Callithrix jacchus: one gene and its partner. The protein of the gene in region 2 binds, or shares a complex with, the protein of the main gene of each other region. Links are inferred from orthologs where the notes say so. Each region holds a gene or a part of one and is shown on either strand. Other genes may lie near its edges.

Region 1 (16,064 bases), on a different chromosome or scaffold from region 2:
ATTCATACAGCTTAGTTCCTTTTACTATTGAGATTGATCAACCCTGTCTTTCATAACTCACCACCATTTCCTAAAGGAACTTTAAAATAATCTTCACCTGTGGTAAACACTTTTAATGTTTGCATTTATTTGATTTTTGTGTAACCAAAATCAAAACCAATTTGCAACATAGTCTATTATTAAGCAGAAGAAAAGTCTACTGCCTTAGTTACTAACTAAACCTGTGAAATAAACTGAATTGTGTTCTTAAAGCCATTCATTTAAAAAATAAATAAAAGATTAGAGCAACTATAAAAATTGTACTTAAAATCCTATGAAAATTAATTTCTAGGTAGTTACCTTGATTACAATCAATAACATTGCAAAACTCTCTGACGTTGTTTTCATTGATTTCAGCTTGCTTTCTTTCAATAAATGCAGATATTCGTCTGTCAATCTACAAACAACAAGTTTTAACAGTGTAAACATAAGATTTTTAAAAGTAATACCCTCTCATCCCCACCAAAAAAACTTCTTACTTCTGCTTTTCCAGCCTTTATCTGAACTACTTCTGGATCAAAATGGATCTGTGTCTTTTTCACATCTCCTAAATCACATTCTTTGTGCTTTTCTTCCTTTTGTAGGTCGCCAAAGGAAAATTTGTCATTTACTTCATTTTTGTTCCCCGTTTCTGTTTTTCCTATCTCTTCAACAGCGGTTGTATTCTCCTCTTTAACTGGAGACTGAAGTTTTGCTAAAAAAGGCTGAGAACAACACAATTCCATCTGCTGAGATTCAAACTGACCCAAATTAATTACACATTTAATATATTTACATAAATTTCTGCTAAATTAAATATTTAATATTACTAAATATAAAAAGTTAGTACACCAGGACACATAGATCTGACTTCATATAAGTATTTACTATTCTTTGCTATTGTAACCATTATCATTTGCTATAAATTTTAAAAGAAGAGAGGAAAAAAGAAAAAAGATTAGAAAACCTAAGGAAATTTAAAATTTTCTTTGAGAGAATCATTCTGTCACTTATCTTTTATTTTGTGCCAAATCAAAGCCTTCAGCCTCTGGCACCAATGCCACTTAATTAACATGTCATTCAAATGCCTCCTCAGAACACTAAGGCTTAGTATTTTTCCTCCTTAACAGGAGAGCCAGTGCTCTCACTCAGCAAAGCCCTGCATTATCACTGTATCACTGGAGATTCTCCACTTGAAACTGCAGTTGGCCAATGTGAATGAGGAAGCATAGACAGGAAATATATAGGTGTTAGGCTGAGTGAACACTCAAGACTTTTCCTGACATGGCAAATATCTTCTTGGGCCATAAGATTAAATTTTAAAAAACAAAACTAACAAGAAAAAAAAATCTATGGCAGAAAACAGGCAGAGGCCTATCACTATACTACAGGGGGAAAAAAACCCCTATTGTAGAATATAAATGATATTATCCATTTACTGTTCTCCTCCCCCACTCCACACAATTAGGCCTCATTTGAGTTCTATAGCTCACTGCTCTGCCCTTTGAAAACAGGGTTAACTATTACTTTTAACGTGAAACAGTTAAAATTTCCCACAAAGTCAATAAATGGAGAGCTGAAAATTAATGCCTATTCCATTAGTCAAAACACACTAACACTAATAACGTTCCAATTATTTTTTTCATATCCACAATTTTGCTTCCCTTGTTTGCTATACCAAATACTCTCCTGAAACCGTATAACATCTTAATCACAGTAAACTGACCAATCCAAACAGTTCTTCCACTTATCTTTTTGACACTTTACATTTTACACTTTAATTAGAGATAAACTGCAAACTTACATCAATTATAATTGGAAAGATGTTCAATTACAAACTAGCAAGGTCATAACATGAAATACTTAAAAATATAACAATGCTATTATAAATACCAGTTCAATATTAGCTTCTAATATAAAGAATAAATTATTTCAAACTGTTAAGAAAAAGAAAACAGTGACTGGCTACTTACTAAGATGAGACATTAATGTCACAGAAATTACTTTCTTTTTAAAAACTATGCTGAAACTGTTTAATTGCAATAGACACTCCAGGATGTGTCATGCTGGGATAATGCCCCTTCTTGAACCACTGAAAGCACTCCATGAGCCTCCAAACTCACCCAAGGCATGGAATCATTATCATAGCATGACACACACCTGCCGTGTCTTATTGCTTAATTATAACCCACCATAGATGGAACTGTATTGAATTTTCAGTGCAGGTCTAGAATTGAACAGAACTGCATTCATTCACTCTCATACCCACATTAGTCTTTTGGGCTATATTCCCTTAACTGTCCTGATCACTACTGAAATTAACAGATTTAGATCCAATCTGGATGTAAATAACCTTTTATTAGCAACACTATTAATAGAGTGTTTAGAACTGACAAATACTCTAATTTAACCACAATTAATTTCTGTTTTCAATATCGGGTTATCATTTCTAACAAGAAATTTACCTGTAAATCTAAAATGTGTTGTTCAAGTGCACTAAAGAGCAACGCAGGCTGGAATGCCGAAAAGCTTTGGAGCTTGTTCCAATCGATTGTAATTTTCACCACATCATCTCTGAGGTTAAGCTTCAAAAAGGCAAACCAGCAACATCACAAAAATTATAAGATTAAACTGTACATATGGAATTGTCACAAATAAAGGATTTCAAGAGTAACGTGTCTATTTTGCTCAAAGTTATCAAGTTTTACACTGAAATGCTCTACCTAGTTACCATTTTAAATGGCCACGAAAGCTACAGATTTTCATAAAAAACAAAAACAAAATGACATGTCATTCAAATTCTATTCTTGGGTCTGTGTAACGGGATCATTTTAGAGGTGAAACCATTCATGAAAGATGAAAAGATGAAGGCTCTTTTGATTCTTCAATATCTACAAACCTTTGGATGGAGTCCAAAATAGGCTTACCCTATTCAGAATCCTACTACTTCTAGCTCAGAGCCGTAAACAGAGGAAGCACAACTGTTTTGTGAAAGTTTTAACATGCATTTTTCTCTTTAAGTACGTACACAAATACATACCAGATATATATCACTATTCTGATGTTCTCCAAATCACATTGTTATTGTTTTCACCTTTAACCAAATTTTAAACTAATTTAAAAGTCAAGATTACTCATACATACTAAAAGCAGGGATAAATGGCAACATGTTTATTTCAAATAAAAAACTATTAGTTAGCTATGGAAGTCTGAAGCTGAAAAACAAAGACTTCTCCACAATAGTGAAATAAGTTGTCAGACTGGATGAAATGGCCAGATCTTTTGCTAAATGGTAAGATGTGAGGGCTCATTATATGGAAATTTGTATCAGTTGGTGATCTAACAGAATAAAATCATACCCAGAAAATTACAAAGAACCTGAATATAAGATTATTATCAAAATGAATGAAAATTTTACAGTGATAGCACCCATCTGCAGTCTTTTGAGTGAATAAAAGTGAACTATCATAAACTTTCCTAGGGACATATGTTTACAGGATAGCATAAGAATATATTCCATAAAAGAAACAAGTTACATAATTAATTCAAAATTCATCATCTTTTCTACAAAATAAAGTTGTTACGTTAGTTCAAATACAGATTTTAGGAGTTATAAAGATGAATCACTGTACAAAGATCAAAAAGATGTAAGGTTACCAATAAAAAGATAATATATTGAATAAACACTATGTGACAGAAATTTACTGCCCTTTTAAGATAAGAACAGAAGAATTTAAAAGTCCATATTAAACAAGTGTAAAGATATATGAAATTTCATGTAGGCTGCACTGGCAAAGATTAGAACATATTAAGACTTTAAAGTTAATGCATTAATTTATATTACTTTAATGCCTATAAAGATTTTGCTACACAACAACCCATATTATGTATGGAAGTAACCCATTAATATACTTTTGTAGTCTTCAAAGAGATCTATACTCGATTATAGAAAACTTATGAATACAGCTTGGGGATAAAGCAGGCAAATCCTCAACCAAAGCAAAGTATCACATTTTTCTAGAGAAAATAACGTATAGAAAAATAAGTCTTAATGTTTGGTTCATATTCTCATTTCAATTCAGCAGAATTATATAAACCTTCAAGTGCAATTAAGAATAATTGGTCTTTTAAGAAAACCACATAATGTCACAAATTAATTATAAAACTATCCTAATTCATCTAACTATTCATTCAAGACATTCATTATTAGTCACATGAATCCTATGCATTTTGCCCTACAGAACTTGGAAGAGTAAACCATTCACTTGAAAATCTCTATTAGTCTGCTATTAATATAGACTATTTAAATATGTAGTTTCATTAACTTTACTAAATTAATACAAAAATCCAAGCTAAAAATAAGTAATTGTTCAGCTTGGTAAGATGGGCCATCCAGAGGCAAGCAAAAAGGTTAAAATTAGTAAATTTTGTGATCTGAAGTAAAAAATTATTTTTAACATTCAGTTTTGTGTTTCCTACTGAGGAGATCTAATAATACAATGATACTTAGGGATGACACAGGATAAGTTAGGTATGTTACAACATACATTTTAAAAATCCTTTAAACTGGTCGCAAAAGAAAATACTGATTTCTCGGGGGGGCAATTTTATAAGTATTGAACTCTGGCTTTCACTCTTAAAAAACATTTCTCAAAATACAGAGTATTTTGAAAGTGGTTTACATTTAATTGATGAAACAATCATATTTTTGACACTTGTGTAGGAGGTCCCTTCACTGTGTCACAGTAAAGTCACCAAATATTTACTGTCAACATTTTTGACAAGTGACATAAGTAAACTGTAATCATTTCTTTAATTGTACTTTACCGTACTTGAATCATTAAAATTTTCTAATGAGTTTGAAAAATTCAGTATGCAAAATATTTCAAAAGAAAAGTTTAAATCATTGCTCAATATTTTTTTTAAATATTCCATCTTCTGTTAATAGGTGAGCATAAACTTTTTTTATCTTGACATTAGAAAATAAACAAGTTCCGACGTCGCCATAAAAAGTTCTCTAACTTTTAAACCATTTAGAGGTTTTGGTTCTTAAGACTACAATGTTAATAACAAAAGACCCCAAGTGTTTAAAAAAATGTTTTTGGTAAGTACTTGGCAAACAATTGAGTTTAAAAGTTGTATCTTTTAGCAGATTTCATTAACAACTGCGTCATTACATAAAACCGCTAAACTTACAGTAATGTTCTTTGTAAGACACAACATACTACGATTTTTAAAACTACTTTAGTAACTTTTTAAAAGACTGATTCTCCATCTACTCAAGGCTTTAAAAAAATAATTTTCACAAATCAGACAAATGTTCTATTTTTATAGGAATTTACCATTGTCTTTGACACAAATGCCTGCTGTGTCCACAGGCACTAGTACCAGCTCCAAAACAAACTTTTACGGCTAGAAAATGGTCTATGTAAGATAGAAAATATTTCCTTTTAATAAGCAGGTGAAGAAGCATAATTTTAAACTGTTTCACATTTAAAATCTGCTTTGAATTTTACACCATGAAACGAAACAGTGACTTGATCACAGAGAATAAGAAGTCCATTTAAATTTAAAACCAATTTTACCACATTTCTGCAAAAGCGATTTATCAGCCAGTTAAACTACGCCCGTTTAATAATAGTTAAATAACGCCCGTTCTATTGCAAACAACATCAAAGAGGGATAACTCATCCAACTTTACGCTAGAAGTATTTTAAATGAATTCCTTTTACTTTCCTCTCCATTTAAAAGGGTAATAGATGCACAAAACAGCCCGAAGGAAAGAAGAAATAAACAAAACCAAGTGACTCATAAGAACAAATTACTCCCTCTAGCCCCTGAAAAAAGCTAATAAGCGCGCTTTTCTATAAATCTCAGGCCTACTGACCAACCAATTCCCGTAATTGAGTAAGTTGGAAGAAAAAGGAGCCTGAGCGCGAGGCGCCTCATAAATCCGCAGTTAAGCTTTTCCACATTCATTCTCTCCAAGTCTGCTCCTCTCGGGGCCGGGTTTTCACTTAAACCATCCTCACCCACTGCTGGGGAGGACAGCTGCAAGGTAAACCACTTGGCAACCGGTACCGCCATCCTCCTCACTCCGACTGAGACGGCTCGGCCCGGGCTCCTCCCCGACCTCGGCTTCAGGGGCCGCACCTCAGACCTTGGCAGGCCTCGCTGCCTCTGGCCTCCGCTAGAGGAAAAGAATGAGGGGGAGAGGCCGGATGGTTTCCATACCCTCAATCCCTGAGGCCACTTCTCACCTGTCCAACCAGGGTGTGCAGGGAGCGAAAGATTTCGCAGAGCACCTCTCGGGAGAGGCTGGGGCTGCATCTTCGCTCCACATTCCTGTCACCGCTACTCGGGCGAGTAAGCTCCGTGGCAGCAGCCATGACACCTTCTCAGGCCGCCAAGGATTGCTCACAGCCCCGCCCCCTCCCTTTTCCGCTTTAGTCGCTCGGTGATGACGTACGACACGGCGTCTCGTTTATATCCGGGCTTTGAGGCTCCACCCTCTGTATGTGACTGACAAGCACGTACACCAATCAGTTGCAGCTGTGGCATTGCCCCGAAGCTCTGAAGTGAATTGCAGACCAAAGCTAGGCTAGAATGCTGTCTTTGGGGTGGTCATTAGAGTCGTGGTCTCTTAAGGGTTAGCATCATGAAGCTTACCTTGACTCCTGGATGTTCCTTGTGAATGTTGGTAGTAGGGGACTATGTGAAACACTGTCAGTATCATTCCAACAGGAATTTAACCTGGATAAATAATATGCAACCACAATCTTTGAAATTAGAAGGACATAAAACCGAATTGAAACTTTACAAAGTATTATATAACTTTATTATAAAGATACTTGTGGGGTTTTGCAATCTTTTCTTTTTTTTTTTTTTAATATTTTATTGCATTTTAGGTTTTGGGGTACATGTGCAGAACGTGAAAGACAGTTGCATAGGTACACACATGGCAGTGTGTGTTGCTTCCTTTCTCCCCTTCACCCACATTTGGCATTTCTCTCCAGGCTATCCCTCCCCAGCTTCCACCCCCACCCCCGTGCTGGGCCTACACTTTTCCCCCCAATAGACCCCAGTGTTTAGTACTCCCCTCCCTGTGTCCATGTGTTCTCATTTTTCATCACCCGTCTATGAGTGAGAATATGCGGTATTTCATTTTCTGTTCTTGTGTCAGTTTGCTGAGAATGATGTTCTCCAGATTCATCCATGTCCCTACAAACGACACAAACTCATCATTTCTGATTGCTGCATAATATTCCATAGTGTATATGTGCCACATTTTTCCAATCCAGTCTATTATCAATGGGCATTTGGGTTGATTCCAGGTCTTTGCTATTGTAAACAGTGCTGCAATGAACATTCGTGTGCATGTGTCCTTATAGTAGAACGATTTATAGTCCTTTGGATATATACCCAGTAATGGGATTGCTGGGTCAATTGGAATTTTTATTTCTAAAGCCTTGAGGAATCACCACACTGTCTTCCACAATGGTTGAACTAATTTACACTCCCACCAAAGGTGTAAAAGTGTTCCTGTTTCTCCACATCCTCTCCAGCATCTGTTGTCTCCAAATGTTTTAATGATCGCCATTCTAACTGGCGTGAGATGGTATCTCAATGTGGTTTTGATTTGCATCTCTCTGATGACCAGTGACCATGAGCATTTTTTCATATGATTGTTGGCTTCATATATGTCTTCTTTTGTAAAGTGTCTGTTCATATCCTTTGCCCATTTTTGAATGGGCTTGTTTGTTTTTTTCCCGTAAATCTGTTTGAGTTCTTTGTAAATTCTGGATATCAGCCCTTTGTCAGATGGGTAGACTGCAAAAATTTTTTCCCATTCTCTTGGTTGCCAATTCACTCTAGTGACTGTTTCTTTTGCTGTGGAGAAGCTGTGGAGTTTGATTAGGTCCCATTTGTCTATTTTGGCTTTTGTTGCCAATGCTTTTGGTGTTTTGTTCATGAAGTCCTTGCCTACTCCTATGTCCTGGATGGTTTTGCCTAGATTTCCTTCTAGGGTTTTTATGGTGCCAGGTCTTATGTTTAAGTCTTTAATCCATCTGGAGTTAATTTTGGTGTAAGGTGTCAGGAAGGGGTCCAGTTTCTGCTTTCTGCACATGGCTAGCCAGTTCTCCCAACACCACTTATTAAATAGGGAATCCTTTCCCCAATGCTTGTTTTTTGTCAGGTTTATCAAAGATTGTATGGTTGTAGATATGTTGTGTTGCCTCCGATACCTCTGTTTTGTTCCATTGCTCTATATCTCTGTTTTGGTACCAGTACCATGCTGTTTTGATTACTGTAGCCTTGTAGTATAGTTTGAAATCCGGTAGTGTGATGCCCCCCGCTGTGTTCTTTTTGCTTAGAATTGACTTGGCTATGCGGGCTCTCTTTTGGTTCCATATGAAGTTCATGGTGGTTTTTTCCAGTTCTGTGAAGAAAGTCAATGGTAGCTTGATGAGGATAGCGTTGATTCTGTAAATTACTTTGGGCAGTATAGCCATTTTCACGATATTAATTCTTCCTAACCATGAACATGAAATGTTTCTCCATTTGTTTGTGTCCTCTCTGATTTCGTTGAGCAGTGGTTTGTAGTTTTCCTTGAAGAGGTCCCTTACGTTCCTTGTGAGTTGTATTCCTAGGTATTTTATTCTTTTTGTAGCAATTGTGAATGGCAGTTCGTTCTTGATTTGGCTCTCTTTAAGTCTGTTATTGGTGTAGAGGAATGCTTGTGATTTTTGCACATTGATTTTATATCCTGAGACTTTGCTGAAGTTGCTTATTAGTTTCAGGAGTTTTTGGGCTGAGGCGATGGGGTCTTCTAGGCATACTATCATGTCGTCTGCGAAGAGTGACAATTTGGCTTCCACTTTTCCTATTTGAATACCCTTTATTTCTTTTTCTTGCCTGATTGCTCTGGCTAGAACTTCCAGTACTATATTGAGTAGGAGTGGTGAGAGAGGGCATCCTTGTCTAGTGCCGGATTTCAAAGGGAATGCTTCCAGTTTTTGCCCATTCAGTATGATATTGGCTGTTGGTTTGTCGTAAATAGCTTTTATTACTTTGAGATATGTTCCATCGATACCGAGTTTATTGAGGGTTTTTAGCATAAAAGGCTGTTGAATTTTGTCAAATGCCTTCTCTGCATCAATTGAGATAATCATGTGGTTTTTGTTTTTGGTTCTGTTTATGTGGTGAATTATGTTTATAGACTTGCGTATGTTGAACCAGCCTTGCATCCCCGGGATAAATCCTACTTGATCATGATGAATAAGTTTTTTGATTTGCTGTTGCTATCGGCTTGCCAATATTTTATTGAAGATTTTTGCATCTATGTTCATCATGGATATTGGCCTGAAGTTTCCCTTTCTTGTTGGGTCTCTGCCGGGTTTGGTAACAGGATGATATTCATCTCATAAAATGATTTGGGAAGGATTCCCTCTTTTTGGATTATTTGGAATAGTTTCAGAAGGAATGGTACCAGCTCCTCTTTGTTTGTCTGGTAGAATTCGGCTGTGAACCCATCTGGATCTGGGCTTTTTTTGTGTGGTAGGCTCTTAATTGCTGCCTCGACTTCTGACCTTGGTATTGGTCTATTCATAGTTTCAGCTTCCTCCTGGTTTAGGCTTGGGAGGACACAGGTGTCCAGGAATTTATCCATTTCTTCCAGGTTTACTAGTTTATGTGCATAGAGTTGTTTGTAATATTCTCTGATGATGGTTTGAATTTCTGTGGAATCTGTAGTGATTTCCCCTTTATCATTTTTTATTGCACCTATTTGGTTATTCTCTCTTTTCTTTTTAATCAATCTGGCTAGTGGTCTATCTATTTTGTTGATCTTTTCAAAAAACCAGCTCTTGGATTTATTGATTTTTTGAAGGGTTTTTCATGTCTCTTTCTCCTTCAGTTCTGCTCTGATCTTAGTTATTTCTTATCTTCTGCTGATTTTTGAGTTTTTTTGATCTTGCTCCTCTAGCTCTTTCAATTTTGACAATAGGGTGTCAATTTTGGATCTCTCCACTCTTCTCATATGGGCACTTATTGCTATATATTTTCCTCTAGAGACTGCTTTAAATGTGTCCCAGAGATTCTGGCATGTTGTGTCTTCATTCTCATTGGTTTCGAAGAACTTCTTTATTTCTGCCTTCATTTCATTGTTTATCCAGTCAACATTCAAGAGCCAGTTGTTCAGTTTCCATGAAGCTGTGCGGTTCTGGGTTCGTTTCTGAATTCTGAGTTCTAACTTGATTGCACTATGGCCTGAGAGACTGTTTGTTATGATTTCAGTTGTTTTGCATTTGCTGAGGAGTGCTTTACTTCCAATTATGTGGTCAATTTTAGAATAGGTGTGATGTGGTGCTGAGAAGAATGTATATTCTGTGGATTTGGGGTGGAGAGTTCTGTAAATGTCTATCAGGTTTGCTTGTTCCAGGTCTGAGTTCAAGCCCTGGATATCCTTGTTGATTTTCTGTCTGGTTGATCTGTCTAATATTGACAGTGGAGTGTTAAAGTCTCCCACTATTATTGTGTGGAAGTCTAAGTCTCTTTGTGAGTCATTAAGAACTTGCCTTATGTATCTGGGTGCTCCTGTATTGGGTCCATATATATTTAGGATTGTTAGCTCTTCTTGTTTTATCGATCCTTTTACTATTATGTAATGGCCTTCTTTGTCTCTTTTGGTCTTTCTTGCTTTAACGTCTATTTTATCAGAGATGAGAATTGCAACTCCTGCTTTTTTTTTGCTCTCCATTTGCTTGATAAATCTTCCTCCATCCCTTTATTTTGAGCCTTTGTGTATCCTTGCATATGAGATGGGTTTCCTGGATACAGCACACTGATTGGTTTTGGCTTTTTATCCAATTTGCCAGTCTGTGTCTTTTGATTGGTGCATTTAGTCCATTTACATTTAGGGTTAATACTGTTATGTGTGAATTTGATACTGCCATTTTGATGCTAGCTGGCTGTTTTGCCCATTAGTTGATGTAGATTCTTCATTATGTTGATGCTCTTTAGCATTTAGTGTGATTTTGGAATGTCTGGTACTGGTTGTTCCTTTCTATGTGTATTGCCTCTTTTAGGAGCTCTTGTAAAGCAGGCCTGGTGGTGACAAACTCTCTGAGTACTTGCTTATTCACAAAGGATTTTATTTTTCCTTCACTTATGAAGCTCAGTTTGGCTGGATATGAAATTCTGGATTGAAAGTTCTTTTCTTTAAGGATGTTGAATATTGGCCCTTACTCTCTTCTGGCTTGTAGTGTTTCTGCTGAGAGATCTGCTGTGAGTCTGATGGGCTTCCTTTTGTGGGTTACCCGACCTTTCTCTCTGGCTGCCCTTAGTATTTTTTTCTTTATTTCAACCTTGTTGAATCTGATGATTATATGCCTTGGGGTTGCTCTTTTTGTGGAATATCTTTGTGGTGTTCTCTGTATTTTCTGCATTTGATTGTTGGCCTGTCTTGCTGGGTGGGGGAAATTTTCCTGGATAATGTCCTGAAGAGTATTTTCCAGCTTGGATTCATTCTCTTTGTCACATTCTGGTATGCCTATCAAACGTTGGTTAGGTCTCTTCACATAGTTTCACATTTCTTGGAGACCTTGTTCATTCCTTTTTGCACTTTTTTTCTGATCCTGGTTTCTCGTTTTATTTCATTGAGTTGATCTTCAACTTCTGATATTCTTTCTTCTGCTTGGTCAATTTGGCTGTTGAAACTTGTGCATGCTTTGCGAAGTTCTCGTATTGTGTTTTTCAGCTCCTTTAATTCATTCATATTCCTCTGTAAGTTATCCATTCTGATTATCATTTTCTCGAATTTTTTTCAAATCTTATTTCAAGGTTCTTAGTTTCTTTGCATTGATTGAAAACATGTGCTTTTAGCTCACAAACGTTTCTTATGATCCACCTTCTGAAGTCTGATTCTGTCATTTTGTCACAGTCATTCTCCATCCAGCTTTGTTCCGTTGCTAGTGAGGAGTTTTGGTCCTTTGTAGGAGGCGAGGTGTTCTGGTTTCGAGTGCTTTCCTCCTTTTTGCACAGGTTTCTTCCCATCTTTGTGGATTTATCCACCTGTCGTCTGAGTAGTTGCTGACTTTTTGATTGGGTCTCTGAGTGGACGCCCAGATTGTTGATGATGAAGTATTTCCGTTACTTGGTTTTCCTTCTACCAGTCTAGCCCCTTCACTGTATGACTGCTGAGGTCCACTCCAGGCTCTGCTTTTCTGGAGTGCACCTATAGCAGCTGCAGAACAGTGAGGGATGCTACCAGTTTTTTTTTTATGCTATTTTTGTCCCAGAATGATGCCTGCCAAATTCCAGTCTTTTGGATATAGAGGGGTCAGGAAGCTGCTTGAGGAGACAGTCTGTACTTTATAGGAGCTCAAGTGCTGAGCTGTGAGCTCTGTTGTTCATTCAGGGCTGTTAGGCTGCTACGTTTAATTCTGCTGCAGCATAACTCATAAAAAAACCCTTTTTTTTCTCAGATGCTCTGTCTCGGGTGTTGGGGCTTTCTTTGTGAGCATCCGTTGTGCTGTCTTGCCCAACTTGGAGGCAGTCTAGTCACTATTTGCCTGCCGAGGCTCCGCCCTGCTGGTGTGAGGTTCACCCTGTCGCTGCAGGCTCTGCCCTGCGTCTGCGGTCTCCGCCCTGCTACCATGGGCTATGCCCTGCGGCAGAGTCTCTCTGTTGTGGCAGGTTGCTTTGGCAGTGGCAGGCTGTGTCAGGAATGGGAGTGTACCTCAGTAGGGGCGGATTGCCTCGGTAATGGCGGACGCCCCTCCTCCACCGAGCTGCACCATCCTGGTGCAGTGAAACTCTCCACCAGGAGCATTTGGAATCGCCATTTTGTTTCTCCCACTGCGCTACCCCAAACGCCGTTTCCCTGGAATCTCCTGGCCTGGCTCACTGTCCAAGTCCTGTTCAGTCAGGTAGATATGCAAATCTGCCCTCTCAAGTCTCAGATTGCCGGTTCAACAGGGCACCTGGACGAGTGCATTTTGTGCGGAGCGCTGTGGAGCACCGCTGCGCTACAGCGCTGGCCACCGGCTGCACCGGCTGCCAGCTGCGCCAGCCAAAACCTCTGCCTGGCATCCCGCGTCTCTTTTACTTCTGGGAATTTCCCCGTTCTGTGGGCAACAAAGATCCATCTGGAAATGCGGACCTGACTCACCCTCCGCTTGTTCCCCAAGAGCTTCGATCCTGGGTTGTTCTCACCGTGCCATCTTGAGTCCCAGTCCGGGGTTTTGCAATCTTTTAGTCAGACTCCAATATTTTAAAAAAGTGTTATTCAATAAAAAAACAAGTATTACCAGAATGTTTAGTGTGAAGTTTCATTCAAAAACACTTTAAGAAATAAACATCAGCTTAGAGATAAGGAAGGTGGGATCTAAAACTCTTAATTTTGTTAATAGTCAATGCATTTACAGTAGAGGAAGCAAAGGTGGAAACTTTCACAATGTGCATTCTTTAGTCTTAGGGAAGACTAAATTAGAGGGAAGGACTAAGATATCAAGGAAATAGGATAAGGATGGTGAGAATAAAAGAACTCCTTTGACCTGTCCCTAGGGAGTCTCTTAATTAGGCTTTCATTTCCAAAAACAAATGGGATCACCAGGCTTGACAGAATTTTGGGAAATCTTTTCTATTCCCTTGCTAGCAGCAAGATATCCATCCTATGTCTAGAGGCAGAAAAAGACTTCACGATGTCCAATCTTAAATTGAGCAACCTTCTTATTCAAGCTTCTCATCTCCATATCTAGCCTAAATTAATGATTCTTTGCAATGTTAGCATATTTTCTTTGTCTCTGTTTCTTTTTTTTTTCCTTTCAGACAGAGTCTCCCTCTGTCATCCAGGCTGAAGTGCAGTGGTGCCATCTCCACTCACTGCCACCTCTGCCTCCTGGGTTCAATCGATTCTCCTGTCTCAGCCTCCCAAGTAGCTGGGATTACAGGAGCCTGCCACCATGCCCAGCTAATTTTTGTATTTTTAGTAGAGATAGGGTTTCACCATATTGGTCAGGCTGGTCTCAAACTCTTAATCTCAGGTGGTCCACCCGCCTCAGCCTCCCAAAGTGCTGGGATTGCAGGCGTAAGCCACCCACCCAGCCGCCTCTGTTTCTCTTGTAGGAGAATAATTGTAATGGGATAACTGTAAGCTTTTTTTCTCTACCAAATTGGCAATCAATTTCAGATCACTTGTTTTCATTGAAGTGTTTCAGAATTGTTTCATATATGGAGAACATGGATAGGCAACACATTTAGGGATATGCTTTGTACATTAAAAGAATACTGTCTTTAACAAGGTGCTGCTCATTCCTTTCTTTGCCATCATTGATTCTGATTTTTCAAGTTTTACTTGTTCTTTTGTGTCTCTAATAGAGAATTAACTGATGGTCATTTGACTTGTGTATTGCTTCTCCATGTAATTCTGTGATTTGATATCCAGACTGGCTCCTCTATCTTGGTATTCTTTACTTAGGTACAGGTTGAGCATTCCTAATCTGAAAATTCAAAATCCAAAATGATCCAAAATTTGAAACTTTTTGAGCACCAATACCACAAGTGGAAAATTTCATACCTGATCCAACAGTCAAAAGGCAGCCAAAACTTTGTTTCATGAACAAATTTATTTAAAACATTATATAAAATTACCATCAAGCTATGTTTATAAAGCATATATAAAACAGAAATGAATTTTGTGTTTAGATTTGGACCCCATACCCAAGATAGCTTATTATATGTATGCAAATATTCCAAAATCTAAAAAAATTGTAAGTCTGAGACATTTCTGTTCCCAAGTATTTCAGATAAGGGGTACTCAACCACTAGTACTTAGAATTTGTTAATTCTTGGGCATTTTTCTTCTTTCTAAGGACCTTTCTTACTCCTTCTTGGTGTCTATTACCTTCATTTTGGAAAGTTTTCTCATTTTCTTGTTTTATAATAGAAAATTCTATTTTAAATAGAAGAGTTTGTAGCCTGAAAAGATTTTGATTCCTTGGGCTAACTTAAAATAGAAATTTGTAGATATTGTATGTGTGTATGTATGTATAACAAAAGTGTAATACAAGCTCTGAAATTTAGAAAGGGAATAAAGGAAATAATTTGCTCTTTATGGAAAACTAATTACAGTTTATAAAGTGGGTTGCTGACAAATCTGCTGCCTAGCAGAAATGATTCAAAGTGTTGGTGTTGGCGTTAGCAACAGAGTTAGAAATACTGTCCTGCAAGCCCATGCCAAGAATCAATTGAGAGGATAGAGACTATAAATGAAATCTAGGCTATTTACCTTATCAACAAAGATGTCTTTTATGTTGATCTTTAATGGCACAACTCTATTAAGTAATCCAGTGCCCAGCAAAATACCTGAGGGCTCAACTGATGTTTGTTGCATGTATGATAATACAGATTTCTTTTCAACGCAGAAAAGGAAAAATAAATGGTATTTATCATCTCTGGCTCCCCATCACCTGCTGCACAAATCCAAGTTCTTTAGGATTAAATTGATGCTCTTATTATCTGGACTTTGCCTAAATTTCCAGCCTTGTTTTCTGCCACAAACCATCTGGTGCTTAATGCTTCTGAAACTGCTTTTACATCTTCAACACTTGACTATTTCTTGTCTCCATGCTTTGATTTTTACCCTGTGTTTCTTGTCTGCTTAAGAAACTCCATTTCCATTTTCAAACTCCAGTTAGAAAATCTTCTCTGAGAAATCCCACCTCATATCCCTCCTCATTAACAGCTTAATTTCTCATCTGCTAAACTACTTTTATAACTTGTATATACTTCCATTATTGTAATTACCACAGTGATACTTAAATTTATTTTACTATATCTGTCTCTCTATATGTTGGTGTACATAAAACTTAGCAGAGTTTCTGGCACAGAGTAATTGCTCAGTACATGCCTGTTGAGCTGAATTTATTTGCCTTCTTAAGTGAACAGATTCATAAAATGGAAAAAAAGGAAACAAGTGCCTATTGTTGAAGGAAAATTGTAACATATAGACTGCTATAAACAATTTATTTTAAATAATGAAGCAT
Region 2 (15,964 bases):
ACAACTTGAAAAAAACAGAACAAACATCAAAACCAGACTGAGATATGGCAAAGATGTTACAACTACTGGACTGGGAATTTAAAATACAGGTGCACCTCAGAGACATTACAGGATCGGTGCCAGACCACTGCAATAAAGTGAATATCATAATAAAGCAAGCTGCACAAACTTTTGGTGTTCCAAGGCATATAAAAATTGTTTAAGGCCAGGTGTGGTAGCTCATGCCTGTAATCCCAGCATGTCAGGAGGCTGAAGCGGGAAGACTGCATGAACCCAGGAAGTCAACTGACAGCTACAGTGAGCCATGATTGTGCCACTACACTCCAGCCTGGGTGATAGCGAGGCTATCTCAAAAAAAAAAAAAGAGAAGAAAAGAAAAGAAAAAAAAAGCTGACAATATATTGTCATTGTGTACAATAATAGTACTATGTCTAAAAAAGTGTATATGCCTTAATTTAAAATACCTTATTGCTAAAAAGAAAAAAAATGCCAACAATCATCTGAGCCTTCAGTGAGTCAATCATTTTACTGGTAGAGGCTCTTGCCTCAATATTGATGGTTGCCAACTGATCAGGGTGGTGGTGGTTGCTGAAGGTTGGGATGGCTGGGGTAATTTCTCAAAATAAGACAAGAATGAAGTATGCCACATTGATTGGCTCTTCCTTTCACAAAAGATTTCTCTGTAGCATGTGACGCCGGGTTTCTTTGTTTCTTTTTGTTTGGTTGGTTGATTTTAAGACGAACTCTTGCTCTGTCGCCCAGGCTGGAGGGCAGGGATGAGATCTCAGCTCACTGCAACCTCTACCTCCCAAGTTCAAGTGATTCACCTGCCTTAGCCTTCCAAGTAGCTGGGATTACAGGTGTACACCACCATGCCCGGTTAATTTTTGTCTTTAGGAAAGACAGGGTTTTACCATGTTGGCCAGGCTGGAACTCCTGACCTCAGGTGATCCACCTACCTCAGCCTCCCAAAGTGCTGGGATTACAGGCCTGAGCCACCATGCCCGGCCATGTAATGTTGTTTGATAGCATTTCACCCACAAAAGAACTTCTTTCAAAATTGAAGTCAGACTGTGCCACTAATTTATCAACTGTTTATGCAATATTCTAAATCTTTTGCTGTCAAATTTCAACAATGTTCATGGCATCTTTACCAGGAGTAGATATTATCTTATAAAACCACTTTCTTTGCTCATCCATAAGAAGCAACCCTTATCCATTCAAGTTTTATCATGACACTTATCGATCACATCTTCAGGCTCCTCTTCTAATTCTAGTTCTCTTGCTCTTTCCACCACATCCACAGTGACATCTTCCACTGTAGTCTTGAACCCCTCAAAAGTCATCCAAGAGGCTTGGAAATCAACTTCTTCCAAACTCCTGTGAATGTTAAAACTGTGGCCGGGCGCGGTGGCTCATGCCTGCAATCCCTCACTTTGGGAGGCTGGAGTGGGCAGATAACCTGAGGTCACGAGTTCGAGACCAGCCTGACCACTTAAAAAAAAAAAAAATTAGCCAGGCATGGTGACACATGCCTGTAATCCCAGCTACTCAGGGGGCTGAGGTAGGAGAATCGCTTGGACGCGAGGGGCAGAAGTTGCAGTAAGCCGAGATTGCACCATTGCACTCCAGCCTAGGCAACAAGAGTGAAACTCTGTCTCAAAAAAAAAGAGAGAAATTTTGACCTCCTCCCATGAATCACAAATGTTCTTAATGGCATCTAGAATGGTGAAAGCTTTTTAGAAGGTTTTCAATGTCTTTGCCCAGATCCATCAGAGGAATCGCTATCTATAGTAGCTATAGCCTTACAAAAAGTCTTATTTAAGACTTGAAAATCAAAATTACTCCTTGATCCATCATGGGTTACAGAATGGATGCTGTGTTAGCAGGCATGAAAATAATATTAATTTTATACCTCTCCATCAGAACTCTTGGGTGACCAGGTATATTGTCAACGAGCAGCAATTGTTTGGAAATAATCTTTTTCTCCAAGTAGTAGCTTTCAATAGTGGGCTTAGAATATTCAGTAAACCATGCTGTAAACAGATATGCTGTCATCCAAGCTTTGTTGATATATTTACAGAGCACAGGCAGGGTAGACTTAGGATAATTTATAAGGGCCCGAAGACTTTTGGAAGAGCAAATGATCATTGTCTCTAACCGAAAGTCACCAGCTGCATTAGCCCCTAAGAAGAGAGTTGGCTTGTCCTTTGAAGCTTTGAACCGAGGCCCTGACTTCTAACTACTAAAGTTGTAGGCAGCATCTTCTTTAAATAGAAGGCTGTTTCACCTACACTGAACATCTTGCTTAGTGTAGCCACTTCCATCAATAATCTTAGCTAGATCTTCTAGATAACGTGTTGCTGCTTCTACATTAGCAACTGCCGCTTTAACTTGCACTAAAAGAATAAATATAAAACAAGAGTATGGATTGAATAAATGCATTTATAGCCACCCCTGTGTAAATACATTAAAATTTATACTAAAATTCCAAGTTGGCCAGGTGCGGTGGCTCCTGCCTGTAATTCAGCACTTTGGGAGGCCGAGTTGGGCGGATCACGAGGTCAGGAGATCAAGACCATCCTGGCTAACATGGTGAAACCCTGTCTCTACTGAAAATACAAAATTAATCAGGTGTGGTGGTGCATGCCTGTAATCCCAGCTATTTGGGAGGCTAAGGCAGGAGAATTGCTTGAACCCAGGAGGCGGAGGTTGTGGTGAGTAGAGATTGTGCCATTGCACTCCAGCCTGGGAAACAAGAACAAAATTCCGTCTCAAAAAAAAAAAAAAAAAAAAAAAAATCCAAGTTAAGACTGGGTTAAAACACAAGTATATAGCTTTACTACTTCCCAAAATCCCACTAAAACTACAGAAACTGACTTAATTAGAACAGTAAGTGGTAAGCAGATGGACAAATAGTAACTGATTTAACGCCAAAATCCCAAAGTGGCTTTGGGTAAGCTGAATGAGAGCTAACAACCCAATCTATACTGCAGAACTGGCTAAAATCCAGGCAGCAGCAGCAGATTCCTCTGGAACTGGGACTAAATGGGACAGTTAAAATAAGAATCAGGCAAACAGCATGTGGAAAGCAGTATGATCCCCAGATCCCTCCACTCTCTCTAGCTGGGTGGCTGCCCTCCCCCAGAAGCCAGGAGGTCTGATTTTTGGGAAGGTCTAACAAAGGCTCCAGATGGGGCCATTCAGTGAGAGCTGATACCACCTAAGCCAGTGGTAAAGCTAAGCCAGGAGCAGGGTGATTTACAAAACACAGCCTCAGGGAAGTATAGCCACTGAAGTCATCAGCCTTAGAGCCTGGGGGGTATGATTTCGACAGAGAGGCTCTTTAAGAGGTTAAAGCCTCTAATTATACCCGTATACTAATTACACTGCCCACAGCCAGGAAATGATCTTTCCCTCTACAGGCAGAAGACTGCAGAGGCTCAAGAGAGAAATTCTGGACACAGGAAGCCAACGGTGAGTACCGTCCTGAAGACAGGGAGAGTCAATTTACTTCCTCAATGGTAGGCTCCTGAGCCCTCCCAACTTGGCTCCTGGTATGCAGGCTGGTTAATACTGTGTGCTTCCCAGGAAATACTGGAATTAGAAGAAAAAAGAAAAGAGGATCTATCTGGAGTAGAGATCCTGGTAAACTATAGGCACTCCCCACCATTCTTTTTACTGGAACACAGCCCCATTCACTATGGCTCTCAAATCACAACAGCAGTTCCCAATGAGATTTTGTGGCCGGCAAAGCCTAAAATAGTTACTATCTGGCAGAAATATTTTTTTATTTACAGAAAAAGTTTGCCAACTTTTGATCTAGAGGGTCCAATATCCAAATAATAGGGGAGTTCTAAAATGAGGGAACAAAAAAAATAGAAGACAGGAGATCAAAACTTTTCCATACTCAGGAAAGAAAGTTTCAAACTGAAGGGGCCCAAACACCACATGTCCAGCACAAGGAAAGACATAAGCCCTACATATGGCATATCACTGAATAATACCAGAACACCAGCAATGGAGAGCAGAATCCACTAGCTTCCAGAGAAGAAGACAGAAAAGCATCCAGGCCCCAAACAGGCAATTTGCAGAGAAACAACCATGAAATTTAACCTCACCTCTAACCAAAGAAATGTAAATAAAAACAAGATTTCACTTTACAGCCAGCCAATCAGCAAAACTTAGAGGCTAGTATCAAGTGCAGACAAAGATATAGTGAAATAAGGCCTCTTGTTCCTCCCAGTGCTAGGGTATATGCAGACAGTTCTAAGTGGAATTAAATGTTCCCAGAAGCATCCACAAAATTTGGGTTCCACTGATCATCCTTTGGGCAACACTGACACCACACTGATCCCTTGGCTACTATTTCTTCATGCTGTCCTCTACGCAGATCTCTACCTTCAGATCCTGTGCAGCACAGTGTGCGAGACACTGTCATGGCCTCGACAAATCTATCAAAGCTACAACACAAACCATGTACAGCTACCCTCTGAGAGAGAGATAAAGAACACTTATAGGTTAAAGAAAAAGAAAACCCAGATGTACTAAGGTGTTCTTCTAAGAAACAACTGTCACAAACAAAGCCCAGTGATTTTTGTTCCCCTTGCTCATTACTTCTCTCTTCCCAAACTACTCAGGATTTAAAAGGTCACAGCATAACCATGTCAACTGCCTGGTACAGCCTGCCCCACCTCCACTCCTGCCCCCACCAGCTTTATAGCAAATGCCTGCATTCACCTGGTATCGGTCAAGGATTCTGAAGTCCTGACAGGTAGTTCGGTACATGGCTTGTCCAGCTGAAAGTCTGGAAACTCCTCCTTCTTTGGCTCCATAAATCCCATCAACTAACAGAAGAGCAGCATTAACAACTTGATCCAAGTCAAAAAGTGGTAATCCCCTATCCCTTTTCGCTTGTCTGACAATCAGTTTGCGCTTCAGTCTCCGAGCTTCCGGAGTCATGGCAACCGCACCAGGACAAGCTTCCAGCCTCTTGAGCAACAGCTTTTCCTCATAGATGCTCACGGGAGTATACTTGGGCTCTTTCGGCTTTGTGTCCTTCTCCAGCTGAGGCTTCCTCTTTTCTCGAGCCCTTGTTTGCAAAGACGTGTTGGAATCTGTGTCTTCACTGTCAATATCCATCCTGTCTGGTTTTTCTTCCTCACTCTCTACCTCCTGCTTTATCTGTTCAGGGCCTCTGACCTTCTTTCTGCTCCCAACCACTGGCCCAGAAGCTACTGACCCAGAAGGGGGTGGAATGTACTCCATCCCTGGGTCTATGACTCCATCGCCTTCCATCTCATCATCATCTGTGCAGAATACAAAACAGTGTCATCAAGACCCAGGAAGGAAGAAATGCAGAGCACAAAACCCACAGGGTGAAAACTTGTATATCTATACTATGGCCCATACCCAAAATAAAAGACCAAAGCAAGCAAAGTCCTACCGTGAAACAAGGCTTGCGGGGGCATCACATCTGGAATCAGATCTGCTTCTGAAAGCAAGCTGGGCGTGGCAGAATGAGAGGCAGGTGTCCCAGGGGCAGAGAAATCCAGAGAAGGAGAAGGAGATGGGCTTGTCAGCGGGGTGCGGTCAGAGGAGCTCAAGGAGGAAAAGTCAATCACTTCTCCTTTTTCAAGAATCACATCTGGCCTACGGCCTCGGCTTATGAACTTTACAGGGGTAGAAGACGTGCTCCTGTCAAGAAAACCAGCCGCCTCCTTTTGGGCTCTTCTAATATCTTTTGCTTCCTGAGTTCGAGACCTTTTCTCTTTTAATTCCATGGCAGATTCCACAGGATTCCGACTTGCCCGTTTTCTAAGTCCCTCAACAGTAATGATGGGATCTAAAGTTGGTTTTGAGGCTGCCAGAAAAGAATAAATACAGGCTGAGCATCCCTCATCTGAAATGCTTCAGAACAAGCATGTTTTAGATTTCAGATGTTTTCGGATTTTGGAATACTTGCATTATACTTATTGGTTGAGCATCCCAAACCCAGAAATCCAAAATCTGAAATGCTCCAATGAGCATTTCCTTTGAGGGTTATGTTGGTGCTCAAAACGGTTCAGATTTTGGAGCGTTTTTGATTTCTGATTTTCAGATTTGGACTGCTTAACCCATATCTAAATTTTAAAATAACTACTCAACTTTAGCTTCTTTTGCTAATTTATCTTTATGAATAGTTTCATGTTCAATTAATGCCCTAAACTAAAAAAGATTTTAAATATCTCCTGAGAAAAAAGAAGTTGAAATGCAAATTTAAACAAATAAATACTTTCTTTTCTTTTTTTTTTTTTAAGACGGGGTTTCACCATGTTGGTCAGGCTGGTGTTGAACTCCCGACCTCAGGTGATCCGCCCACCTTGGCCTCCAAAGTCCTTGGATTACAGGTGTGAGCCACCACGCCCGGCCATAAATACTATCTTTCATCTACTGGAACTGGTAAATAGTAAAAGTTTAGCCAGGCATGGTGGTGCAAACCTCTAATCCCAGCAGTCTGGGAGGCTGAGTGGATAGATCTTGAGCCTGGACGGTGGAGGCTGCAGTAAGCCAAAAAAAAAAAAAAGTTTGGTAAAGCTCAGTAAATGTATGGGAAAATGGGCATTTTCGAGGGCATTTTAATGGGAAGTTTCTTTCTTTCCTTTTTTTTTTTGGAGACAGGGTCTTGCTGTGTCACCCAGGCTGGAATGCAGTGGTGTGATCGTGGCTCACTACAACTCCGCCTCCCAGGTTTGAGTGATTCTCCTGCCTCAGCCTCTCAAGTAGCTGGGATTACAGATCCGTGCCACCATGACCAGCTGATTTTTGTATTTTTGTAGAGATGGGGTTTCAGCATGTTGGCCAGGCTAGTCTTGAACTCCTGACCTCAGCCTCCCAAAATGTTGGGATTACAGGTATAAGCCACCACACCTGGCCTTATTATAGTCTCTTGGAGGATAATTTGGCAATCCTGATTAAAATTTTGAATGAATATGATCTTTGATATAGAAACTCTGCTTCCAGGAATTTATCACATTTTCACATGTACACAAATTTGTATAATTATAGCGTGTTTGAAGTAACAAAAGGTCAGGCATGATGTCTCACGCCTGTAATCCCAGCACTTTTGGAGGCAGAGGCCGGAGAATCACTTGAGCCCAGCAGTTCAAGACCAACCTGAGAAAAATAGTGAGACCCTATCTCCATTCTTTTTTAAAAAATGTTTTAGTGAGACCCTATCTCCATTCTTTTTTTAAAAATGTTTTAATAGTGGCTCACGCCTGTAGTCCCAGCACTTTGGGAGGCCAAGGCAGGTGGATCACCTGAGGTCAGGAGTTCGAGACGAGCTTAGCCAACATGGTGAAACACCATCTCTACTAAAAATACAAAAAAATTAGCTGTGAATGGTGGTGTGTGCCTTTAAGCCCAGCTATTCAGGAGTCCGAGGCACAGGAATCATTTGAACCCAGGAGGCAGAGGTTGCAATGAGCCAAGATTGCACCACTGCACTCCAGCCTGGGTGACAGAGCGAGACTCTATCTCAAATAAATAAACCAATAAGTAAATATAAAAATGTAAAAGCACATTAAAACCTTTTTAAATTATAAAACTGATCAATATGTGATAGAAGTTACTATTAACATCTTTTTCCATGTGAAAATGGCATTATGGTCAGGCTGCAAAAAGGAAAGAATCCTGCCTGATCTCTTAGAGATACACACTGAGACATTTAAGAATGAAATGTGGCGTCTGGGCACCGTGGCTCATGCCTATAATCTCAGCACTTTGGGAGGCTGAGGCGGGCAGATCATGAGGTTAGGAGATCAAGACAATCCTGGCTAACAGGGTGAAACCCTGTCTCTACTAAAAATACAAAAAATTAGCCAGGTGTGGTGGTGTACCCCTGTAGTCACAGCTACTAGAGAGGCTGAGGCAGAAGAATCGCTTGAACCAGGGAGGCAGAGGTTGCACTGAGCCAAGATTGTGCCACTGCACTCCAGCCTAGGGGACAGAGCAAGACTCCGTTTCAAAAAAAAAAAAAAAAGAATGAAAATGTTCATTCCTGGGATTTTTTAAGAATGGGGAAAGTATTGGGGATTTAGATAAAATAGATGGTCAGGAGTTAATGTCCAAGTGAGGTGGAAGGCATAGGGAATTCATTATGTTATTTATTATGGGAATTTTAAAACATCTCTTCACCTTTGTGAGATGGTACGTTTAAAAACAAAAATCAGATGGAAAACATTGAACCTTTCAGATACCCAGGGAAATTTGTAAAACTGATAGCTTGATTAGGAAGTGATAAAATGTTTTTATGTGGCATTTATTTCTAGCACACACACATAAGTGTCATCACAGAAGTGTTAAGGAGACTAGCTCCAGAGAAGCCTTGGAGCTGTGCCAGTGGAAGCAGGGGCATCTCCTGGGCTCACGCCTGCTTGGCTCTGGTCTGACTAGCATCTTTTGTATTGTTCTCACAACAGTACCTTTTATTTTCAAAGTCGAGGCAGACAACTTCTCTCCTTCAGGTTTCATTGTTGGGGGCTTGTTATGAACAAGTTTCCACCATCCCGACTCTCCAAATTCCTGAGCACCTGAACGGAAGTACATGGGACTTCCCACGCTGAGGCAACCTGCCACGGTGCTCCACCAGGTGGATGTCTTTTTCCTAAAGAGTCCAAGAATTTAAAAATGATTGGCACTAAAATAAGCTCATTATATAGAAAGACAGTCTATGTATACCGTGACTCCCGGCCTGCAACATGCAATGGCACCACCCGCTGCTGAAGGAGCAGAGCACAAGAGGCAGGAGAGAGGTTCTGGGGCCCACCTGCTTCACACCCTGGCACTACCAACTTCTAGCAGTCTTGGTTTGTTCATCTGAAAAATCAGAATAATAGAACTTACCTCACAGGGTTGCTGTAAGGGTTAAATGAAACAATTCAAACGAAGCACGTAAAATACTTCTCAATCACAATCATGATTACGGAATTCTACAGGCTACTTTTAATTAGGTTACTTTTTTATATGAATTAAGCACAGCTCCCAAGAATAAAGCACACGAAAAGCATAACTCCAAGTCCGGGCATTTTGTGATAGAAGTTAATCACTGGCTCCAGTAAAGAGCTCACTTTACCAGGGGAGTCGCACACGTCTCTCAATCTGATCCTATCTACTTGGATGCACTAGAGTGGTAAAAAAACTACGTGGTATGCTCCACAAACAGAGATAGCACCTACTGCATGACAAATATCAAAATGTGCATAATGTCAACTATTTGCGGACCCTGTTGAAAATTCTTTTAAGACAACTGTTCTCTTTCCACCTTGAAAACACAAATCAGTTGCCGGAAATCCTAAAAGACAGTCTTTCACAAGAAGGTCAGCCTAAAAGATATTTCTAGGAAGGCAAAGGAAAAGCATTCTGAAGAACAGAGATGTATTATTAAAGAAAACACAGAAAATAAACAAATAAGCTAAGCTACAGTAGGCATAAGCACCATCTGAGGCCAGGCATGGTGGCTCACGCCTGTAATCCCAGCACTTTGGGAGGCCGAGGTGGGTGGATCACCTGAGGTCAGGGGTTTGAAACCAGCCTGGCAGACATGGTGAAACCCTGTCTCTACTGAAAATACAAAATTAGCCAGGTGTGGTGGCACATGCCAGTAATCCCAGCTACTCAGGAGGGTGAGGCAGGAGAATCGCTTGAACCCAAGCAGCAGAGGTTGCAGTGAGCCAAGACTGCATCATTGTACTCCAGCCTGGGTGACAACAAGAGTCAGTCTCAAAAAAAGCACTAACTATCTGAGAGAATGACACCCCCAACCGTTTGGTCCCAAAGTACCTCTCCTACATTTTTATCTTTTTCCAATCTTTCCAAACCCCTCTAATATACAATGTAGTATAAACATACACAAGAGAATACAATTCAAATCTTAAAAATAAAGGAAATCCTGTCAGATGCCGCAACATGGATAATCCTTGAGGACATTATGCTAAGCAAAATAAGCCAGTCATAAAAAGACAAATACTGTATGATTCTACATATATGAACTATTTAGAATAGTCAAATTCATAGAAACAGAAAGTAGAATGGTGACTGCCTAGAGCTATGGGGAGGGGAGAATGGAGTTATTTAATATAGAGTTTCAGATCTGCAAGATGAAAAGAGTTCTGGCAATCTGTGAATCTACATCCAAATATGTGAATATACTTAACACTACTGAACTGTCCACTTAGAACTGGTTAAGATGGTAAATTTTCACCATTTTTACTGCAATAAAAAAAAAAGGTCTGGGCAACGCAGAAAGACCTCATTTCTACAAAAATAAAAATAAAAAAATTAGTTGGGTGTGATGGCATGTATCTGTGGTGTCAGCTACTTGGGAGGCTGAGGTGGGAGGATCACTTGTGCCTAAGAGGTCAAGGCTGCAGTGAGCCATGATTTTGCCACTGCATTCCATCCTGCATAACAGGGTGAAACCCTATCTCAAACAAACAAAAACAATAAAAAGATTGAAAAAGGCTCAAAAGATTTTAAAAACCAATGTGTTATTTAGTGTGTGGAAAATAGGTGTGTACTTCTACATTGACAGTGGGACTATAAACTGGCGTATACTTTCTTGAGGTTACTTTCATAATGTACAGCAAAATTGTGTGTATTCTCTGACCCCACAAATCTAATCACAAAAACACAAAGGACATATATACAAGAATATTCCCTACAAGGCTAACTTAAACACAGGAAAACCAGAAGTAACATAAATGTTCATAAAAGTATCAGCCAGTGTTACAGATTTAATTTTGTCCTCCCAAAATGAAGTCCCAGTACTTGTGAATATGACCTTACATGCAAACAGTGATCAAGAGGTCACTGGGTTGAATAAATATGACTGGTGTCCTTAGACAAGGGGAAACCTGAATAGAGACAGACCTGGAGAGGGAAGATGCAGGAAGACACAGGGAAAACGTCCTCTAAATGCTAAGGAAGGCCTGCGGCTAACAGAAGCTAGGGGAGAGGTATAGAATAGACTCTCCCTCACAGCCTTCAAAGGGAACCAATCCTGTCAATAACTGGATTTCAGATTTCCAGCCTCTAGAACTAGAAAACATTTCTGTTGTTTAAGCCATCCAGTTTGTGTTACAGCATCATTAGCAAACTAATAGAGCCAGCTAAATCACAGTATAGACACATAATGAAGTATTTGTATGGAATGGAATAAATTTGTTGCCAGGACATATACAAACACAGTATTTATAAACAGCCTGAATACTTTCCCCCAAAATTATTGTTGTGGTAAAATATACCTAACATTTACTATCTTAACAAGTTTTAAGAGTTGAGTTCAGTGGTATTAAGTACATTCATACGGTACAATCACCACCACCATCCACCTTCAGAACGCTTTTCACAGGGCAAAACTGAAACTCTGTATCCATTAAACAACTCCCAATTCCACCCTCCCACCAAGTGCTGACAACCACCATTCTACTTTCTGTATCTGTGATTTTCACTACCCTAAGTACCTCAGGTAAGTGGAATCACACAATATTTGTTTTCTTGTGATTGGCTTGTTTCATATGTTCATCTACACTGCAGCACGTGCCAGAATTTCCTTCCTTTTTAAGACTGAATGATATCCACTGTATGTATATGCCACACTTTGCTTATCTATTCATCTGCTGATGGACACTTGGGTTGCTTCCACATCTAAGTTATTGTGAATAATGCTGCTAAAAACATGGATATACAAGTATCTCTGAGACCCTGCTTTCAATTCTTGTGAGTATATACCCAGAACTGAAAATGTCAGATACTATCATTATATTTTTAATTATCTGAGGAAATGCCATACCGTTTCCCGTAATGATTGTACGATTTTACACTCCCACCGACACTTGCACAAGGGCTCCCATTTCTCCACATTCTTGCCCACAGTTGTTATTTTCTGTTTTTTGATAATTGTTGCCCTAAGGGGTATGAGAGGGTATCTTGTTATAGATTTGATTTGCATTTCCCTAATGATTAGTGATGTTGAACATCTTTTAATATGCTTATTGGACATTTTTGTATCTTTGAAGAAATGTCTACTAAATTCCTTTACCCATTTTTGCAATGTGGGGAGCTCCAACAACAACGGCTGCCACCTCTTTTTAACTCTATGATTAGATGCAGTAATCAGTAATCAGAGCACAAAATACCCAATATTTGGAAAACGGCTTATTTTTGCCCACCATGAATGCTACAAGCTGTGTGTAAGCTGCTCCAGAAACACACAAACAGCTCTCTCCCTAGCAGCTGGAGAAGGGGGACGGGTAGCTGCTACTGCATTAAGAACCAAAACTGACCAGTATGAAACACAATATGCTGTCCACGCCTTCCCTTGGAAACTGCAAGCCTTTATTAGACTACAGAGTTCCAAAACAGTTCCATGAGTCAGATTCTGCCAGTGCAACTGCTGTCCAAGCAGCGAGGCAGATGCTTCCTATCTGCCACCTTCCCAGAGTCCTCCTCATATAGTTGATCGAAGTGTAGATACTACCAATATGTTCTATTACATTTCATCAATGCTAAGATCCATTAACTTTGAGATACACCATTTTATGTACAAATAAGAAAAAGCTAACTACCAATTAAATTATGACCTACAGTAACTATAAGATATATCTAGCTGTCAGAGACGTCAAATTTTACAAAATTATGTATCTTAAAAAAAAATCAGGGCTGGGCGTGGTGGCTGACGCCTGTAATCCAAGCACTTTGGAGGCCAAGGCGGGCGGATCACCCGAGGTCGGGAGTTCAAGACCAGCCTGACCAACATGGTGAAACCCCGTCTTTAAAACACAATCAGTAAAATATGGCAACAGAAGAAAATATTCAAACTATTCTTCACTAATCAAAACTATGCCTTCTGGAAAAATTCAAGGCCAGGACTGTAAAAGCAGATTAAATGAACAAACACTAGCCAATTATTCAGTAATAATTAAGTTTTCATATACTTTTTAACTTGTTTCTACAATGGTACATAAAATTATTTAAGTTAGCCCTAAAAAATACACTTTTCTACATTTAAACTTTAGTAACACATTAAAGGCATAAAAGAAAAATCTGTAAACATCTGAAAGAAAATTTAGAACTTCATTTCACTGTATACTATTCTCTCAGGTCTTGCGACAAATGAAAAATGGTTACAATTTTTAAGAATTTAAAGTATGTCCTGGCTGGGTCACCTGAGGTCAGGAGTTCAAGACCCCCCCAACCAATATGGTGAAGCCCTGTCTCTACTAAAAATACAAAAATTAGTCGGGCATGGTGGCATGTACCTGTAGTCCCAGCTATTCCAGAGGCTGAGACAGGAGAACTGCTTGAACCTGGGAGGCAGAGGTTACATGAGCCAAGATTTCACAGCTGCACTCTAGCCTGGGCAAAAAAGCAAGATTCCGCCACACACATAAAATAGTAATAAGGCCGGGGGCAGTGGCTCACACCTGTAATCCCAACACTTTGGGAGGCCAAGGCAGGCAAATCACCTGAGGTGGGGAGTTCAAGACCAACATGGAGAAACCTCCTCTCTACTAAAAATACAAAATCAGCCAGCTGTGTTGGCACATGCCTGTAATCCCAGCTACTTGGGAGGCTGAGGCAGGAGAATCGCTTGAACCTAGGAAGCAGAGGTTGTGGTGAGCTGGGATCGTGCCATTGCACTCCAGCCTGGGCAACAAGACTGAAACTTTGTCTCAAAAAAATAAATAAATAAAATACATCCTATGGATAACAGAATGAAAATCTTTAGCTATGAAAAAAGTGTACCTTAAATATAAATGCTCTTTATGGACAGCTTCTCTGGGGCATGGTGATCTTGTCAACATTCATACACAGAGATATCTGAGCAAGTGATAACTACTTGGGCAGTAGTTTCTGGGGACTTTTCCAATCACTGATGTTTAAAGTGGAGTTCCAAAAGCAAAGAGCAGCACTGTAGCATGAAACCCGGTAACAGGAATCACAGAGTGATTTCTAATTCTCTTTTGCTTCTTCTGGTTAGATCAAGGAGAAAGTTTACTGCTTTAAATTCTCATTAACACTTGTAACCTCTCTTTTTGACTGGAAAAGAAAGTCTTGCCTTGCCATTACACGCCACGGGATCCAGCTACAATTTAACAGCATTGTTTCATTTTTATTGTTACATTCTATTTATGACAATTCATATAGGCTTCCCACTTACCAGGGTGATGTGACGTTTCTTTTTAAAATTAATGTATTTTTAAGTGACCTGACTTAAATAGGAAGATCAAATAAATAATAACTTGGGTGATATACCAATATGGCCAAAACACTAGTTTAATAAAGTACACAGAGACTGGAGAGTAATTAATGCCTTTCAATGGTATGTTAAAGAGAAATAAGGCTCAGCTGATTCATCTCAGAACATGCTCTAGAAATGAACAAATGAAGCAACTGAACAACTTCTGTTAAAAATCCAGGGATATCCTTAAAAAGAGGCAATCTAAATCCAATTTGTTCCAGGAGATAACTCACTACATAGAACAGCAGTTGAAGATAATGAAAACATTCCAAGATCCAATTTCATCAGTTTTTCCCTTTCTTATCCTTTATAAACGGGGTACATTAAGTTCCATAAATAATGCTAAATCATTAAACTAAAACAACAGATTTCCTTTCCTTATGAGAAAAAACTAGTTATAGTGTCAGCTCTTTTCTTAGCACCACTAAATAGCTCAAGAACTAAAATAACCCCTTTTGTAAAAATGCAGGGAGTCTATTCCATTGCCTCACAGCAGCCTGCAGAAGGTCACCCTCCTTCTGACTGCCCTCCCACACTCTCAGTAACATGAGCAAAGCTGTGATTCCTCAGCATCTGAAGAAACAGACAGTGCAGTGAGCCCTAGGTAAGGAAAGGCATGAACTCCCTGCCCTGACCTGAAGTGATCAGAGCCTTTGTCATGTCTAAACTAACCTCATTCTGCAAGATCCACAAATCTCATGCAGGACTTCAGACAGCAACTCACAATCAGAATCTCAAATAAAAATTCACCCATGTGGTAGCAAACTCACAAGTCCCCAGGAGCAATAAAAGTCTTGTCAGATCCAGAGACCTTTAGTGAAAACATATGGTCGCAAGGTCTGTGCATCAGCATCCCCGAGTTAAATGAACCAAAGCAGCTACTGAGGAGGGCACATAGCAGCAAAATCAGAGTGCAATGATAAACACAGTGATTAATGAACCAGCCATATGCACATGTGCCCAGACTTTGCTAAGCACTATGAAAAATAGTTAAAAGCATAAGAGTGTCTACTTTCCAGAGTTAAGAACAAATAACAATAACACAAAACTCTATTAACTAAGGGCAACCTAAGCAGATGCTGTCAGTAACTGCCATTATTTTTCCTCTCGTCCTTGTTTTGTTAGATCTTTCTTTCTTTCTTTTCTTTCTTTTTCTTTCTTTCTTTCTTTCTTTTTCTTTCTCTTTCCTTTTTTCTTTTCTTTCTTTCTTTCTTTCTTCTCTTTCTTTCTTTCCTTCCTTCCTTCCTTTTTTTTTTTGAGGTGGAGTCTTGCTCTGTCACTCAAGCTGGAGTGAAGTGCAATCTAAGCTCACTGCAACCTCCACCTTCTAGGTTCAAGCAATTCTCCTGACTCAGCCCCCCAGGTAGGTAAGATTACAGGAGGCTGCCACCACCACACCCACCTAATTTTTATATTTTTAGTAGAGATGGGTTTTCACCATGTTGGTCAGGCTAGTCTCGAACTCCTGACCTCAGGTGATCTGCCTGCCTCAGTCTTGCAAAGTGCTGGAATTATAGGTGTGAGCCACCGCACCCAGCCAAGTTTTCAATCTTAAGAAAGTAAAAACATTCTCTGGAATTCAAAAATTCTTTGTAATTGCCACAAGTAAACACTAAATCTCTAACAAAGTCAGGAATGGTGGCTCACACCTTTAATCCCAGCACTTTGGAAGGCTGAGAC

What was found.
Region 1: KAT14 (region 2) and MBIP share a complex: the UniProt entries of both Homo sapiens proteins name them as parts of the ADA2A-containing complex. The link is inferred for Callithrix jacchus from reciprocal best matches to the Homo sapiens genes KAT14 and MBIP.

Annotation. Positions count from the first base shown.
Region 1 is NC_133509.1:70,906,755-70,922,818, forward strand, and holds the start of MBIP (MAP3K12-binding inhibitory protein 1), read right to left. Parts: upstream 6,427-16,064; 5' UTR 6,408-6,426; coding exon 6,279-6,407; intron 2,604-6,278; coding exon 2,484-2,603; intron 744-2,483; coding exon 519-743; intron 437-518; coding exon 340-436; intron 1-339. UniProt on the Homo sapiens protein: Inhibits the MAP3K12 activity to induce the activation of the JNK/SAPK pathway. Component of the ATAC complex, a complex with histone acetyltransferase activity on histones H3 and H4.
Region 2 is NC_133506.1:25,190,305-25,206,268, reverse strand, and holds part of KAT14 (cysteine-rich protein 2-binding protein), read right to left. Parts: intron 8,648-15,964; coding exon 8,466-8,647; intron 5,864-8,465; coding exon 5,447-5,863; intron 5,310-5,446; coding exon 4,741-5,309; intron 1-4,740. UniProt on the Homo sapiens protein: Component of the ATAC complex, a complex with histone acetyltransferase activity on histones H3 and H4. May function as a scaffold for the ATAC complex to promote ATAC complex stability. Has also weak histone acetyltransferase activity toward histone H4.